Linked DNA regions of Schizosaccharomyces pombe. Changing the gene in region 1 together with any one later gene gives a genetic interaction. Each region holds a gene or a part of one and is shown in the gene's direction. Other genes may lie near its edges.

Region 1 (3,606 bases):
TCCTGGAATACCTATGTCAGAGATTTCAAAGTTATCCCTGAAAAAGATCTTCCAGGAGAATGTATCTACGGACATAAGGCCACCACCTTTTTAATCAACGCTCCTCATTACTTGAATTATATGTACAAGCTGCTCATTGAAGCTGGCGTCGAATTTGAAAAGAAAGAATTGAGTCACATCAAAGAGACTGTCGAAGAAACTCCAGAAGCTTCAGTAGTATTTAATTGCACTGGTCTCTGGGCTTCCAAATTGGGTGGCGTTGAAGACCCGGACGTTTATCCGACTCGTGGACATGTTGTTTTGGTTAAGGCTCCTCATGTAACAGAAACTCGCATTTTGAATGGCAAGAACTCTGATACCTATATTATTCCTCGTCCCTTAAATGGTGGAGTCATTTGCGGCGGTTTCATGCAACCAGGAAACTGGGATCGTGAAATTCACCCTGAAGACACTTTGGATATCCTTAAGAGAACATCGGCTTTGATGCCAGAATTGTTCCACGGCAAGGGTCCGGAGGGTGCTGAAATTATTCAAGAATGTGTCGGATTCCGTCCTTCTCGAAAGGGTGGTGCCCGCGTAGAGCTTGATGTTGTTCCCGGCACCTCAGTCCCCCTTGTTCATGATTACGGTGCTTCTGGCACAGGATACCAAGCTGGTTATGGTATGGCTCTTGACTCTGTCATGTTGGCTCTTCCTAAAATCAAATTGGCTTAGGTTTATTTTTTTATCACGTTTCATATTTTTTAGAGCATTATCTCCCCTCTTTTTATTAGGATAATTGGTCGCTTCATTTGAGGTAGTTTTTATACCAAATTTCGAACCATGTTTTATAGACTTAACGGATTTGTTAAAACGCATTTCAATTCTACGATACACGTGTACAAGTAGTTCATTAGCTTTTGAGAGTTGCTAAATCATGAGGATGAAATAGCATTAGAATGTTGTACATTACCTTTACGTTTTTTGACGATTATTTAAAAAAATTTACATCTTTTGAGAATAATCTGAAAGACTAAAGTGCTTGGCATCCTTAATGCGAGCAAGTAAGGTTCCTTTCCTTCCGTGCCCTTGTTGTAGAAGCATTAAAATAGACTGAGCTTGATTCATATTAACGGTGGCATCTTTGTAGCTTAATTAGTAATTTTTGGGCCTTTAAAGAAGTTTTTCAATCCTCAATCGCAATATCCTAAATTCACCTATCCGCGACCAGCCTACCGTTTGCATACCACAGGTTTTGGGTAACTATCTAAACCAACTGTGAGGGAATTTAATTGTAATAGTTTATTCATTTTATATTATTTTATTTTGCTTTAATCACAATAATTTGATTAATCAGCTGCTTTTCGTCAGCTCATACAAATTACCAAGAGAAAGGAAAGCTTACATCCCATTATGGCTAATAGAAAGATTTTTCTTATTACATCTCTTATAATATCGTTATTGCTTATTCATATCTTCATATTCAGTCCACTGAATGAACCTGAGAAAAATGCAAAGGCAGGACCTTTAGGTCTTTCAGATGTCTCAGTGCCATCTGCTCCTAAATTACCTGCTAAGGATTCAACAGATTTTGAAGTATTTCTTGAAAACCCTGTTATCATTTTTAGTCGTCCTGGATGTCCTTATAGTGCTGCAGCTAAAAAACTTCTAACAGAAACCCTTAGATTGGATCCTCCAGCAGTGGTTGTAGAAGTCACCGACTACGAGCATACTCAAGAGTTAAGAGACTGGCTTTCTTCCATTAGCGATATATCTACAATGCCCAACATCTTCGTTGGTGGTCATAGCATCGGTGGATCTGATTCGGTCCGTGCTCTGTACCAAGAAGAAAAACTTCAGTCTACTTTGGATGAATGGACACATAATAAAGTTTTAATTTTACCTACCGACTAATTTTAATTTTTCAATATATGTTTTGATGCAATTTATTAATTACAATTTATGTTAAATCGATTACCCTTGGAAGTAACTCAATAATTATACTAGCCAAGTATGCTATAGCTTCTTTAAACCACCAACCACTACTCCAAACTATCCAGCTAAGCAACTTAGAGAGTAAAGCATTCATTGCATATATATTTAAAAAATTTGAATGCAATAATATATTCTTATTGTTACATTGGTCAATTTATTTGCATGGCGCAAGCTCCTGAATACCACTATGTAGGTAGTGTAGACTACCAACCGACGAGGCCTTCTGCCCATCAGAATTTAATAGAGCTTTATGGTCTTACGGAACTTGCTAAAAAGGTTGGACGTGTCGATGAATTTGGTAACAAGAGAAAGATGCGTCGTTCGTACAAGGCTTACATCCAAGACTTGCCAGGTTATAATGAAATTCTTCGTGATAATACTATAAAACAATGGCTTACAAACCCTATTCGAGAAGAAGTTCCTATTGACATTGAATTTTTACATCATGTGTTCTCTGTAGAGCCAGGCATTATTCCAGGTTTTAATCCTAAAGTGTTTGGCCTTGAAGACGACGTTGTAATGGGCAATGTTAGTCGTGATTCCTCTCAACCTCGTAGTCCAAGTCGTAGAAAGAAGTAATTGATGAGCCATCAATTGCTCATCAAATCCTAGAAAGCTGTGAAAGTTTGCTTTAAAACTGCAGGTCAAATCCTTAATGCTCTTGCCGAATTTTACTAAACTTGTTGCTTTTACTGAAACTTGTCGATTCTGCTTTCCATTACTCAATGATTGTACTCAGAAGAGCGATAAATATTTGAAGCTCTTTCTGCGGGTTCAGTTATCTGCTGTTTTCAGAGATTTTTCATCGTTTCAAAGCATGGAAACAATACCAAATGATTTAATTACTCTTTAATTTGCGGTCTAGAAAACTTATTTATTACATGGCGTTGTTTCGTTTTTAAAATTCATCTTTGTTTTCTCAGGTTTATTCCTAAGAAGTCGCTTTTAACTTCAATAGTTTAATCTCGGTGATTCTACTAGATTCTCAAGAGACAAATTACTTAAATTCTTTTTCTCATCTACTGTTTAATGTATTCTTAACGTTGTTAACTGAATCATATTAACTTATGTTCTATATGTTGCTAGTTGTTTTATTCATTTTAGTAATACATTTTCAAAGTTATTTTTCTTCATATACATTTCATCGTAAAGAGTATTTTCTAAATAATACCCAATTTTGAGAAGTGTAAAACAATTGTCGAAATAGTAAAAATATGAGTTGATCTACGCAGGACTGTTGCAAAGAACCGCAGCATAAAAAAATGGTATTGGATCATCCAAATTAAACAGATTGTTTCACTTACTGCCCATACATTACAGTCATCAATCGTAAATACCCGACTGGGCTTTAGAGACGTAATTTCAGTATTCATGATTGATGCAAAAAAAATAACTTGTCATACATTTCTATGTCAATTACCATTGCTTGAATTGCATAAAATACACCGTTCGAACCCCATATTTCTTAATTATACAGATTTACACGCTTACAACACGATTGAGGTAAAAAAATCGTACTTTATGAAACAATCGATAGATATAAACCAAAAACAAATTTAATTATTTGCTTTCCCATATCCACACATTCCCCTCTAACATTAGAATATAGAGGAGAAGATCCTTTTGTAATTC
Region 2 (4,214 bases), 1.4 Mb from region 1:
AAAGGTTTGTTGGCTTTGAATTTGAATGAAGTTACATGCAGTTAAGTTAGCGAAACGATCGATTGGAAATTCCTAAACAATCGGTATGGTATGGGATGGGACTAAATAATTGGAGGAACTTGCTATAAGGTAATTAATAATATAAAGAAGCCGATAATATACAGTATGGTAATAGAAACAAAGCAATGAATCTTGCTCAGTCATTACTAGTTTGCTCTCTAGGGTTAAATTAGTTGGATCAGTAATTTTCAATCGAAACAAAAATATTTAAATAAATACGAATTATGCTTTACTTAGATTTATTATTGTTTTATTTTTATTTATTGCTCTTTTCATCTTTTTTAGAAGTTTTATTGTCTTTCATGTTTGGAATAGAATTTTTTCCCATTAAGCGGCAGTACTAAAAAAAAATTATTTCGATGTCTTTTAAAACCTGAATGATACTATTATATCTCTTTAAACTACTTTTATTTCTAGCACTTGCCATGTTGTTTTGTAATATTGGCTTTACCAGCCATTTGACTTTTTCTTTGTTTACACTAACATCACCGCACCAAAGCGTCAAGAATTTACTGCAGAATTTTACCAAAGAATGTAGAAACTAATTTTCTTTGGAAATTCGGGATTGCATCGATGCACAAGTCACTGACTTCTATAAATACAATTGTTTAGCAAGCTCCCTTTTTTTATTTTCAATAACAGGTAACACGTTTGGCAGGTAACAAGGAGACAATTAATCCATCACTCCAGAAACATATTAGCATTCCCCCCCGATTTAAACCTGGCCTTAACTTACCACCAATTTTTTTTTGCTTAAGGCAATTGGTTTTGTGTTTGTTAACATTCTAATTGTAAGACCTTGACGAAAAACTGGTTTTAAAGGATTTTTTACTGAGCTAATTTATTCGTTTATACGGGCTTTGTTCATTTCGCTTTTGGTAATCTCACTTTTTTTTGGTTTCCAGAGGCATTTTTAAATTTCAATACTTTTTCTTGAGTTTTTGATTTTTGCTTTCTTTTTAGTTTTGCGTTGACAAGTACTGAATTGTAATCTTTATCGTGGATTTAATTAGATTCAAGTGATTTTTAACACCTACATTGCCAAGTAGTATTAAAGTATTCATTTCATTGGTTTGGACTAGTTATATACTTCAAACTGGTGTTTACTTCCTTCTTTCGCTTCTTTTTCTTTCTAAACTTTGCTATATTTTGCCTTCGTTCGTTAGGTTACTATTTATTTACAAATTGAACCTTTTCATATAGGTTCTCTACAGGGATTTTCTTACCATTACTTATTGTAACAGATTTCTTAGTTGAGAGAATATTTTCACTTGGGGGGGTTTTTTTTCTTTTTAATTCACCACACGTATCTAGGTTTTCTACATTCTCTTGGATACAATCTCTTTTATTGCACAGAATCTTCTTTGATTTTCGTCTAATATTCCTACTGTCGGTTCTTTTACCCTTCCTGTTTCTACTTTTTAAAAGCTCTCATATATCACTCATCACCATCCTTTCTCTAATTTTATCTTTCGTTCACTGCTTAATTTTGCATTTCTAAGGAAATTCTCCGTTCCTTTATCATTTTATTTTATTTTGTCTCTTCTATATTATTAGTTTACTCTTGATTATTTGACAATGCGGTTCGCTCCTTATTTAATTAGTGCTGTTGTAATTACAACCATAATCCTGGGTGGAGCTTGGTGGACTTCAGCTATGGATACCAAGCTTCAAACGAAGATGAAGGAGATCATCGACCAACACACGAGTACTTGGACCCCAGTCGTTTCCTCCGTAACCAGTACCCAAACTGATACTTTACGTGTTACCATTAGTGAAGTTGTTAGTGTTACTGCCACTTTAACCGAAACTTTCACTGCTACTCCAACTGTCACTTCTGTAGTTCATGCTTTAGCTACCACTGATCCTCATCCGGATAACTCTAAAATCGTCATTTTGATGGGCTCTAACTTTCAAAATGATGCTAACTCTCCTCTCCATCCTTTCGCTCAGTCCATTATCAAAAATCGTCGTGAATATGCTGAACGCCATGGTTACAAATTCGAATTCTTAGATGCCGATGCCTATGCTTCTCGTGTTACAGGTCATTTAATGCCCTGGGTTAAGGTCCCTATGCTTCAAGATACGATGAAGAAATATCCTGACGCTGAATGGATTTGGTGGCTTGATCATGACGCGTTGGTCATGAACAAAGATCTTAACGTCGTCGACCATGTGCTTAAGCACGACCGATTGAATACCATTTTAACTAGGGAGGCTGAATATAAGAGTGGTGCAGGTATCCCCGCCGATGGATTTAGAACTCCAAAGGATCAGGATGCTAAGGATGTTCATTTCATCATCTCTCAAGATTTTAATGGTATTAACGCTGGCAGTCTTTTTATTCGTAATAGCGAAGTTGGCCGCTGGATTGTTGATTTGTGGTTTGAACCCTTATATTTGGATCATATTCAGGGATATGCTGAGCAACAAGCGTTTTCTCACATGGTATTTTACCATCCCCAGGTGTATAAACATGTAGGTGTTGTCCCACTTAAGGCTATAAACGCATATGATTTTGATGATAATATTTGGGGCTATGACGACGGGGACTTGTGTATCCATTTTGCTGGATGTAACTATTTTAAGAATTGTCCCGAGAAGTTCCTTAAGTATGCTCAAATTTTATCTTCTAAACAAGGATCCGATTGGATGTCTGCTCAAGAAAAGGATCATATTCAAAATCTTTTGAAACCATCATCCTAGTTTTTTTCAGTCACGCATGGAAAAATACCTTGTACTTTAGACTGGTTTAATTTCATGATATTTGTCATTTTACTCAAGAACAACGTCTGTCCAGTATGTTGGTAGTTTTCTCAATTTTTTATTATCGGGGATAAGCAAACTCCTTCTTTCATTACTAATCAAGTCATTTAATTATCCTCCCCTCCTTAGTGAACACCTTAATAGTTTCTCCCTTTTCATGATTTCATGAGCTTAGTATCATTACGTTCAGGACCTTCTAATTTCGTGTTGGAGGATTTTAGTGTTGTCTAATCTATTTCCTTTTCTAAAGTCAAGTTTTGTATCGTACTTTAAGTACAAAGTTCGAGTTTTGCTGTTACGCTTCAAACCGTTTTATTTAATTTTTAAACCCCAGCCTTTCTTGGAGTAAAATGTTAGTAGATGACAAACTTGTTAGGGGTTTGAATGAATTTTCATACGCAGAATGCTGCTTTCTTTAAAATCGGGATGATTTGAAATGTTATTTGAAATGTTGAGTTTTTTGTAGCCTACATTACGATTGTACGGCTTATAGGACAGTGAAGCTATTAAATACTTGATCTAATATGACCGATTACAAGAAAGTCCTTGATAATTTTTCTGCACTTCTTTTGAAGTTGGCAACTTTATGTACAGTATGATGCTCTATCTTTCTAAATAAAGTTATGTCAGGAGTCTTATGGAAATAAAATTTGCAATTCGTCGTAATGAAATCCATTTGAGTGATAATGGCTTTTGAAATTAAAGCATATATTTTTTTTATGCAAAAACAATGAATGAAATATTTGTAAACTGACCAAATCTATAAACCACTGCTTGAAAATTAAACGATTCGAATTTTACTCCTTTGTTCATTGTATCCAAGAACGGCACAACCCCTATATTTGGGTACTATCATTTTTTTACTTTCAAATGGGACGCAATTAAGACCGATTGATTGAATTCTATTAAATTATTATTATATATTAATTTTAAAAATAGTTAGCTTCGTTGTTCTAATTTAAATTATCATTGTTTGATTACAAAAAGTGAAGTGTGTTATTTAAGAAATCAATGTTCCCTCATCGAGTCTCTCATTTATCGAAACTATTTTCGAGAAGGTTTCCCAATTGGAAAAGAAAAGTCCAAACAGATTCTTGGTCCAATGTCCCAGAGCATATTCACTCAAAAATTGGTCGAAACCTTTTTCAAAAAGAAGGTCATCCCATATGCAGTCTACGACAACTTCTCGAACAGCAATTTCAAAAATTCGAAATGAATAATGTTCAAAAAGAATCACCTATTGTTTCTGTAGAGACGAATTTTGATTCTTTAGGATTTCCCAAGACACATGTAAGTAGAAGCAAATCCGATACTTACTATATGAACAATAAAACTTGTCTTCGAACCCATACCTCGGCTCATCAACCTGAAGAGTTCTCTCGCTTGGC
Region 3 (5,775 bases), on another chromosome or scaffold:
TGGTGAAAAAAAGAAGGTCGAAGAAAATGCGGACTATACCATTACTTATGCACCTTCTAATTTTTATAAGCGTTTGATCGCTTTGTTGTTATTTTGTTGGATATGCTCAACACTTGTGACAGTATTGTTAGTGTTTGTTCCACTTTCATTAGGAAGAGCTATTTATGCTTGGTGCTTTCCTAATGTGGTAAAGCACGATTTTTATGCTTACGCCATTGGATTTTACTCTATTTCTTTTCCAATGTATGCAATTCACGCGTCTGTTAAGTTTCTGAAACTTGACTATTTACGAAGCCTTATGAATAAACTAAATTTAAAAATTGTTATGAGGAGCTTAGTAATGGCGTTAAAATATCTTTTATTAGCATTCCTTGGAATATTTATCTTACCACTCTTACTTGGAGCTATATGGGAATTATACGTCGCTATACCTTTCCGAACGATATTTAACAGAGGGACTCTTGCTCTCGATGCATTCCAAAACTGGGTGATTGGTCTTTTTATGCTTCGTATGATATATTTTACTGTGACTTCTAATGAAGAGCGTTTCGTTTCAAGGTTGTTTCAAGATGCTTTTCGTGATAGATGGACGAATCCTCAAATTCTTCCATTATTAAAAAATGTTCTCATCCCTTTTACATCAGCCTTAATAGCCGCCGTTGTGTTGCCAAGTGTTTTTACTTACGTAACCTATCCTTTTCTTTCATCCATTTTCCCTTCTGCATCTAAAACCCTTATGTATCGGTTGATGCATCCTATATTTTTAGCATTACTTGGGCTAGCACTCTTGGGGCGCCGTTTTGTAGAAACTAGTAGTAAATGGTCGCAAGGAATACGTGATGATTTATACTTAGTTGGTACGAGACTGCACAACTTTGGCGAATCTGCTCCTCCAGCCATTTCTGAGTCTGCCGAAAAATAAAAGTCTAGTCATCTACTATTTTTCAGATTATCCTTCTCTTTGGAAAACTGGAGCGAGGACATCTGAAGTAATATAGAGCATTGTGAATGTATATTATTTGAATGATGTTTTTGTTTTAATTGCTACGAAACTGTTAGTTTAGTTGCAGGAAATTACAAAAAGTCATCGTTTGAACAATTGGTTTGTTATTGTTATATTGCCAGGCATCTTATCCAATTTATCGTAACTGGTATTATCATGATATGGTGCTATTTATTTAATTTTCTTTACAAAATTGAACAAATATCAATTATCGTTGAATTTCTTTGATGTATCTGATGACTGTATCAAACCGTAGCAGCGAAAATTTGCAGACAATCACTAGCAATGGATAAATTAGTTAATTACTAAAAAGAAACAGTTATAACAAATATGTTTACTACGGTTATGTGACAAATTTATGAAAATGTAAAAGTTCGTAGTATTGCATGTGTTGATTTTGTAATCCATTCAATACTAACTAATCCTTCGTATAGAGGAATATCAAAATACTTTATCACTTAATCAATTTAAATTTTACGATTATGTTGGCCTAGTAAAATATTCATGTTAAGGATTTTATGGCATTCAACAATAGCGATAAGCTGTAATATTACAAGTAATAAACTCCTACTTAATTCGTTTCCAAGCCCATTTATTAAAAAGAATAATTCAGTGTTGTTAAAAGAAACACTGCAATTCTCTAAAAATTAAAAAAGCCAAGAAGTGTATAATTTTAAGCTACTTTAATCAGTGAAACTAATTTAAAACCAAGAATGATTAAAGATATCGAAATAAACAATTTATAGCAAAATTTATTGGTGATAGAAGCTTTCACTTCGTATTCCATATGCCAGATAAAACTACCCACTTTTACTGACTATTCCAAAATCCATTTTGAGCAAAAGATCGGTTATTTTCAAGTGTTTTTATATTCAGGATTTTCATGTCAATCAGTTATTGAGCGTCATATCGTTGTTCAATTACGGTTTTCTTAACATTATAGAAACTGCTTTTCTAAAAAAAAAAAGAAAAAAAAAGAGCAGGCATTTTTATACTAAGAATCAGCGATAAAAGGGAAGACAGTTACATCAATCTAAAATCTAGTTTACGATAAATACTATTTAACTAAAAGAGAATGGAACCAAACGAAGGAGTACAACTGTTTTCGGCTTTTCCGCCTCCACCTCCATATTATAAGTTATTTACAAGAGAAAACATAGAAAAAGTAATTTCAAATATGGAGAAAGAAGCAAAACATGAGGATGACGCGAATACTTTACAACCTAAGACTGAAGAAGAAATAGAGTCGCTGGCCAAGCTGTTTAAGAAGCCGTCATGTCTCACATCTGGGACTTATCAAATGTTTGGTGACACATGGAGGGTAAGTTTATTTTTATTGTTTTACATTAGCTGCTTTTCATCTCTCACTAACTTATATCGCTTATAGCTAGACGAAGCTATACCTTCACTCAAAGAATTTGGAATCCCTGAATTATATAAAGATATAAAAGATGGAGAAGATGAAATTGAAGTGGTAGAATATGATCCTAAATCCAATGCGATAGTTGGTACTAGTTTTACTCGTGTACACGATTATGATAAAAATTCACCAATTGAAAATGAAAAAATTCTGGAGGATGATCAACATACGGCCATGAAAGAAAAAGATAATGAATCTGATAAGACAATGAAAGATGTCGAGGAAAAGACTGAGCCCTCTCTTAAAAAGGAAGAGGAGGATATACAAATGAAGGAACCTTTAGATTCTCAAGATACTGGAGCTGTTTCAGCTTCTTCGGTAAACGAAGGTTTCCGGGCAGATCAAAAATCAAAGGATGGAGAAACGAGTGATTTGATAAAAATTCCCCGGCGAGCTTATGAACTACGATTTTTATCCCGCTCACTTATGCTTAACTTTCTTGAACTCCTAGGGATTATGGCGAAGGCACCCGAACAGTTTCCTTCTAAGGTTGAAAACATTAGGGTGTTGCTGCTCAATCTCCATCATTTAATTAATGACTATCGTCCACACCAATCTCGTGAATCTTTAATTATGCTTTTAGAAAAACAATTAAAACATGAAGAGTCGCAGGTTGAGCTATTACGTACTCATAACCGGCAAATGACCGAAACTTTGGAAAAGTACAAATCATTAGATTTTAATATGGAGAAGGAAGGAGATGTGATTCAACAATTAAAGTCGTCAATAAAAAAGCCATTGTCAGGCGCTGAAGATGAGCAAAAGTCTAGGTCTATGTTCTCAAAAAATGACGAGAAATTAAAAAAATCGCTTGAATTAATGGAAGACGTGATAAAACGAGATCTTAGCTAATAAACCGGTTTATCTAGTAGAGTTATTTTGCTATTTCCTCTGCTTTTAATATTTGTTTTACAAACAAAAATTCATACTAACGATGAAAAAAATGTATTCTTTCTATTTTAAACAAATCAAAAAAGTTCGTATCCACTACGAAGCAAACCAAAATTTATATTTAAACGGCAAGATCAACCTTTTCCTCAGTGATCATGCTCTTGAAAGGCGCAAGCGCTTGAGAGACGTCCTTATTTACAAAGGATTCAGTCTGCTCGGGAGCACGTCCAACAAAAGTGGATGCATCCAACAAAGAATCTAGCTCATCATAAATAGGAGCAAAATAAGGAGTATTCTTAATACGCTCAATTAAGTCGTTATCCCCTCCCTCTTCCTTGACTACTCGGCCAGCTTGATGAGACAAGACACGAATCTGCTCGTGACACTCATGACGACTAGCACCGTGCTTAGTCATAGCCATGATAATGTTTTCAGTGGCCATGAAGGGCAATTCAGCACGAATGTGTTTTTGAATAACCTTAGGATAAATGACCATACCAGAAATAACGTTCAATAGAATCTTAAGAACGCTATCTGTAAACAAGAAGGCTTCAGGTAACAGAGAACGACGGTTAGAGCTATCATCCAAAGTACGCTCAAACCATTGAACAGAAGCAGTATTAAGAGCATTAGGAATCAAGTTCATAATATAACGAGCTTGAGAACAAATACGTTCACAACGCATTGGATTACGCTTGTAAGCCATAGCAGAACTGCCAATTTGACCAGCCTCAAATGGCTCTTCTACTTCTTTCAAATTAGCAAGGAGACGGATATCAGTTGCAATCTTATGAGCAGTAGCACCGAAAGAAGCTAATGGTTGCAAAACGTCAATATCGATCTTACGATCATAGGTTTGGCCGGTTACAGGATAAACGTTATCAAAACCGGAAAGCTTGGCAACCAATTTATCCAATTCCTCAACCTTGGCATGATCGCCCTCAAAAAGGGCTAAGAAGGAAGCCTGAGTGCCGGTGGTACCCTTGACACCACGGAAACCAATGTCATTTCTAGCTCTTACAAAATTTCTCAAATCCCATAAAAGCTCTTGAATCCAAAGAGTGGCACGCTTACCAACGGTAGTTAATTGAGCTGGTTGATAATGTGTAAACCCAAGAGTAGGAATGTCTTTGTATCGCAAAGACCACTGGCTAAGACGATTGATAACGTTGACTAACTTAGGGATCAAAAGATCCATGGCGCTGCGTAAGAAAATCAAGTCAGCATTATCGGTTACAAAACAGCTAGTAGCACCCAAATGAATAATACCAGAAGCAGCAGGAGCAGCAAGACCATATGTATAGATGTGAGCCATAACATCGTGTCTCTGACGCTTCTCTTCCTTAGCAGCGATTTCAAATTCTGGAGCTGTAATTTTGACATGCGCTTTAAGTTGCTCAATAGCTTCATCAGTAATTTGAGTTAAACCGAGTTGCTTTTCAGCAATGGCGAGATTCAACCACAATTGTCTCCAAGTATTAATACGCATTTCTCTTGAAAAGAGATGAGACATTTCAGCAGAAGCATATCTTGCTGTCAATGGTGTACTATATGAACCATAATCCTCCATATTCGATAATCTTAAGCTCGCCAAAAAATTTCTACCTGTTGTGGTGAATGGACAGTGAGGAACCAACACTAAGTAGTGCTCTACAAATGCTCCACCTTGAGAAGACCATCAGATTTATTATTTTGTAATTTCCATATTAATTAGTTAACGCGCATGAAAAATCAAACGATAATTTATTGTGCCTCCATGCTTCATATGTAGTATTCACCTAACCCACCAAGCAAATCAATTGAAGATCAAGTATAGAGGAGTAAAGGTGCCTTTCCACATATGTTAGCAATATTACAAAAGGGGTTATAAATTTACTTTAACCAATGCCTAAGTAAGAAAAAGACAGAGACCACTTCGTCAATTGAAACTTGTATTCTTAAACTAGTGAATATGAAATGTGAACTAGTAAGAGCAGAAAATTAATTTCTCTATAATGCCAAAATCTACTTCATCAGCAGATAACGAAAACCAAAATTATTTTGGATTATACTATTAAAATATCTTCACAGTGAAAAAGTAATAAACAAAAAACCATCAAGAAAAATAAATATTAAAAGTTGCAAACATCAACTATTAAATAAAGTGTGAAACAAAAAGAGAATTCTTGCTGTATTGGCATGGGTGTTTTTAAATTGGTCAAAGAAATATTCATGACAATCAACCCCAGATATTCTCAGATGCCAAGAATTAAGTGCTCATTTGTATAGGGTAATTAGATGTATTTTGATCGTTTTCGAGATAACCTTTCAGTAAATCAAAGGCTATATTTTATGGCCCATACAAAGGGCGCGCGACTTCAACTACAATTAAAACTCAAGCAATGGTGCAAGCACTTCCAACACGATACCACCAACTTTCTTGAAGTTGAGTTAACCAAATAAGAACCAAAACCAGTCGATC

What was found. A genetic interaction does not mean that the proteins touch.
Region 2: of rox3 (region 1) and gma12, changing one suppresses a phenotype caused by changing the other (phenotypic suppression), as found in Schizosaccharomyces pombe (2 studies listed by BioGRID, with this or other methods).
Region 3: mutations in rox3 (region 1) and med7 together harm fitness more than expected from each alone (negative genetic interaction), as found in Schizosaccharomyces pombe (2 studies listed by BioGRID).

What each region holds. Positions count from the first base shown.
Region 1 is NC_003421.2:1,733,714-1,737,319, reverse strand, and holds rox3 (mediator complex subunit Med19), read left to right. Parts: upstream 1-2,007; 5' UTR 2,008-2,136; coding exon 2,137-2,553; 3' UTR 2,554-3,060; downstream 3,061-3,606. Other genes in the region: dao1 (D-amino acid oxidase), read left to right, coding at 1-714; CIA machinery monothiol glutaredoxin Grx3, read left to right, coding at 1,393-1,893. UniProt on the Schizosaccharomyces pombe protein: Component of the Mediator complex, a coactivator involved in the regulated transcription of nearly all RNA polymerase II-dependent genes.
Region 2 is NC_003421.2:315,277-319,490, reverse strand, and holds gma12 (Golgi alpha-1,2-galactosyltransferase Gma12), read left to right. Parts: upstream 1-1,638; coding exon 1,639-2,766; 3' UTR 2,767-3,664; downstream 3,665-4,214. Other genes in the region: msf1 (phenylalanyl-tRNA synthetase), read left to right, coding at 3,838-4,214. UniProt on the Schizosaccharomyces pombe protein: Involved in the O- and N-linked oligosaccharide modification of proteins transported through the Golgi stack. This occurs in cis Golgi where the enzyme transfers galactose from UDP-galactose to a variety of mannose based acceptors.
Region 3 is NC_003423.3:4,170,564-4,176,338, forward strand, and holds med7 (mediator complex subunit Med7), read left to right. Parts: upstream 1-1,796; 5' UTR 1,797-2,078; coding exon 2,079-2,324; exon of another isoform or gene 2,325-2,390; coding exon 2,391-3,275; 3' UTR 3,276-3,435; coding exon of another isoform or gene 3,436-4,884; 3' UTR 4,885-5,225; downstream 5,226-5,775. Other genes in the region: ubiquitin ligase Doa10, read left to right, coding at 1-922; adenylosuccinate lyase Ade8, read right to left, coding at 3,436-4,884; SPOM_SPBC14F5.10C (ubiquitin-protein ligase E3), read right to left, coding at 5,689-5,775.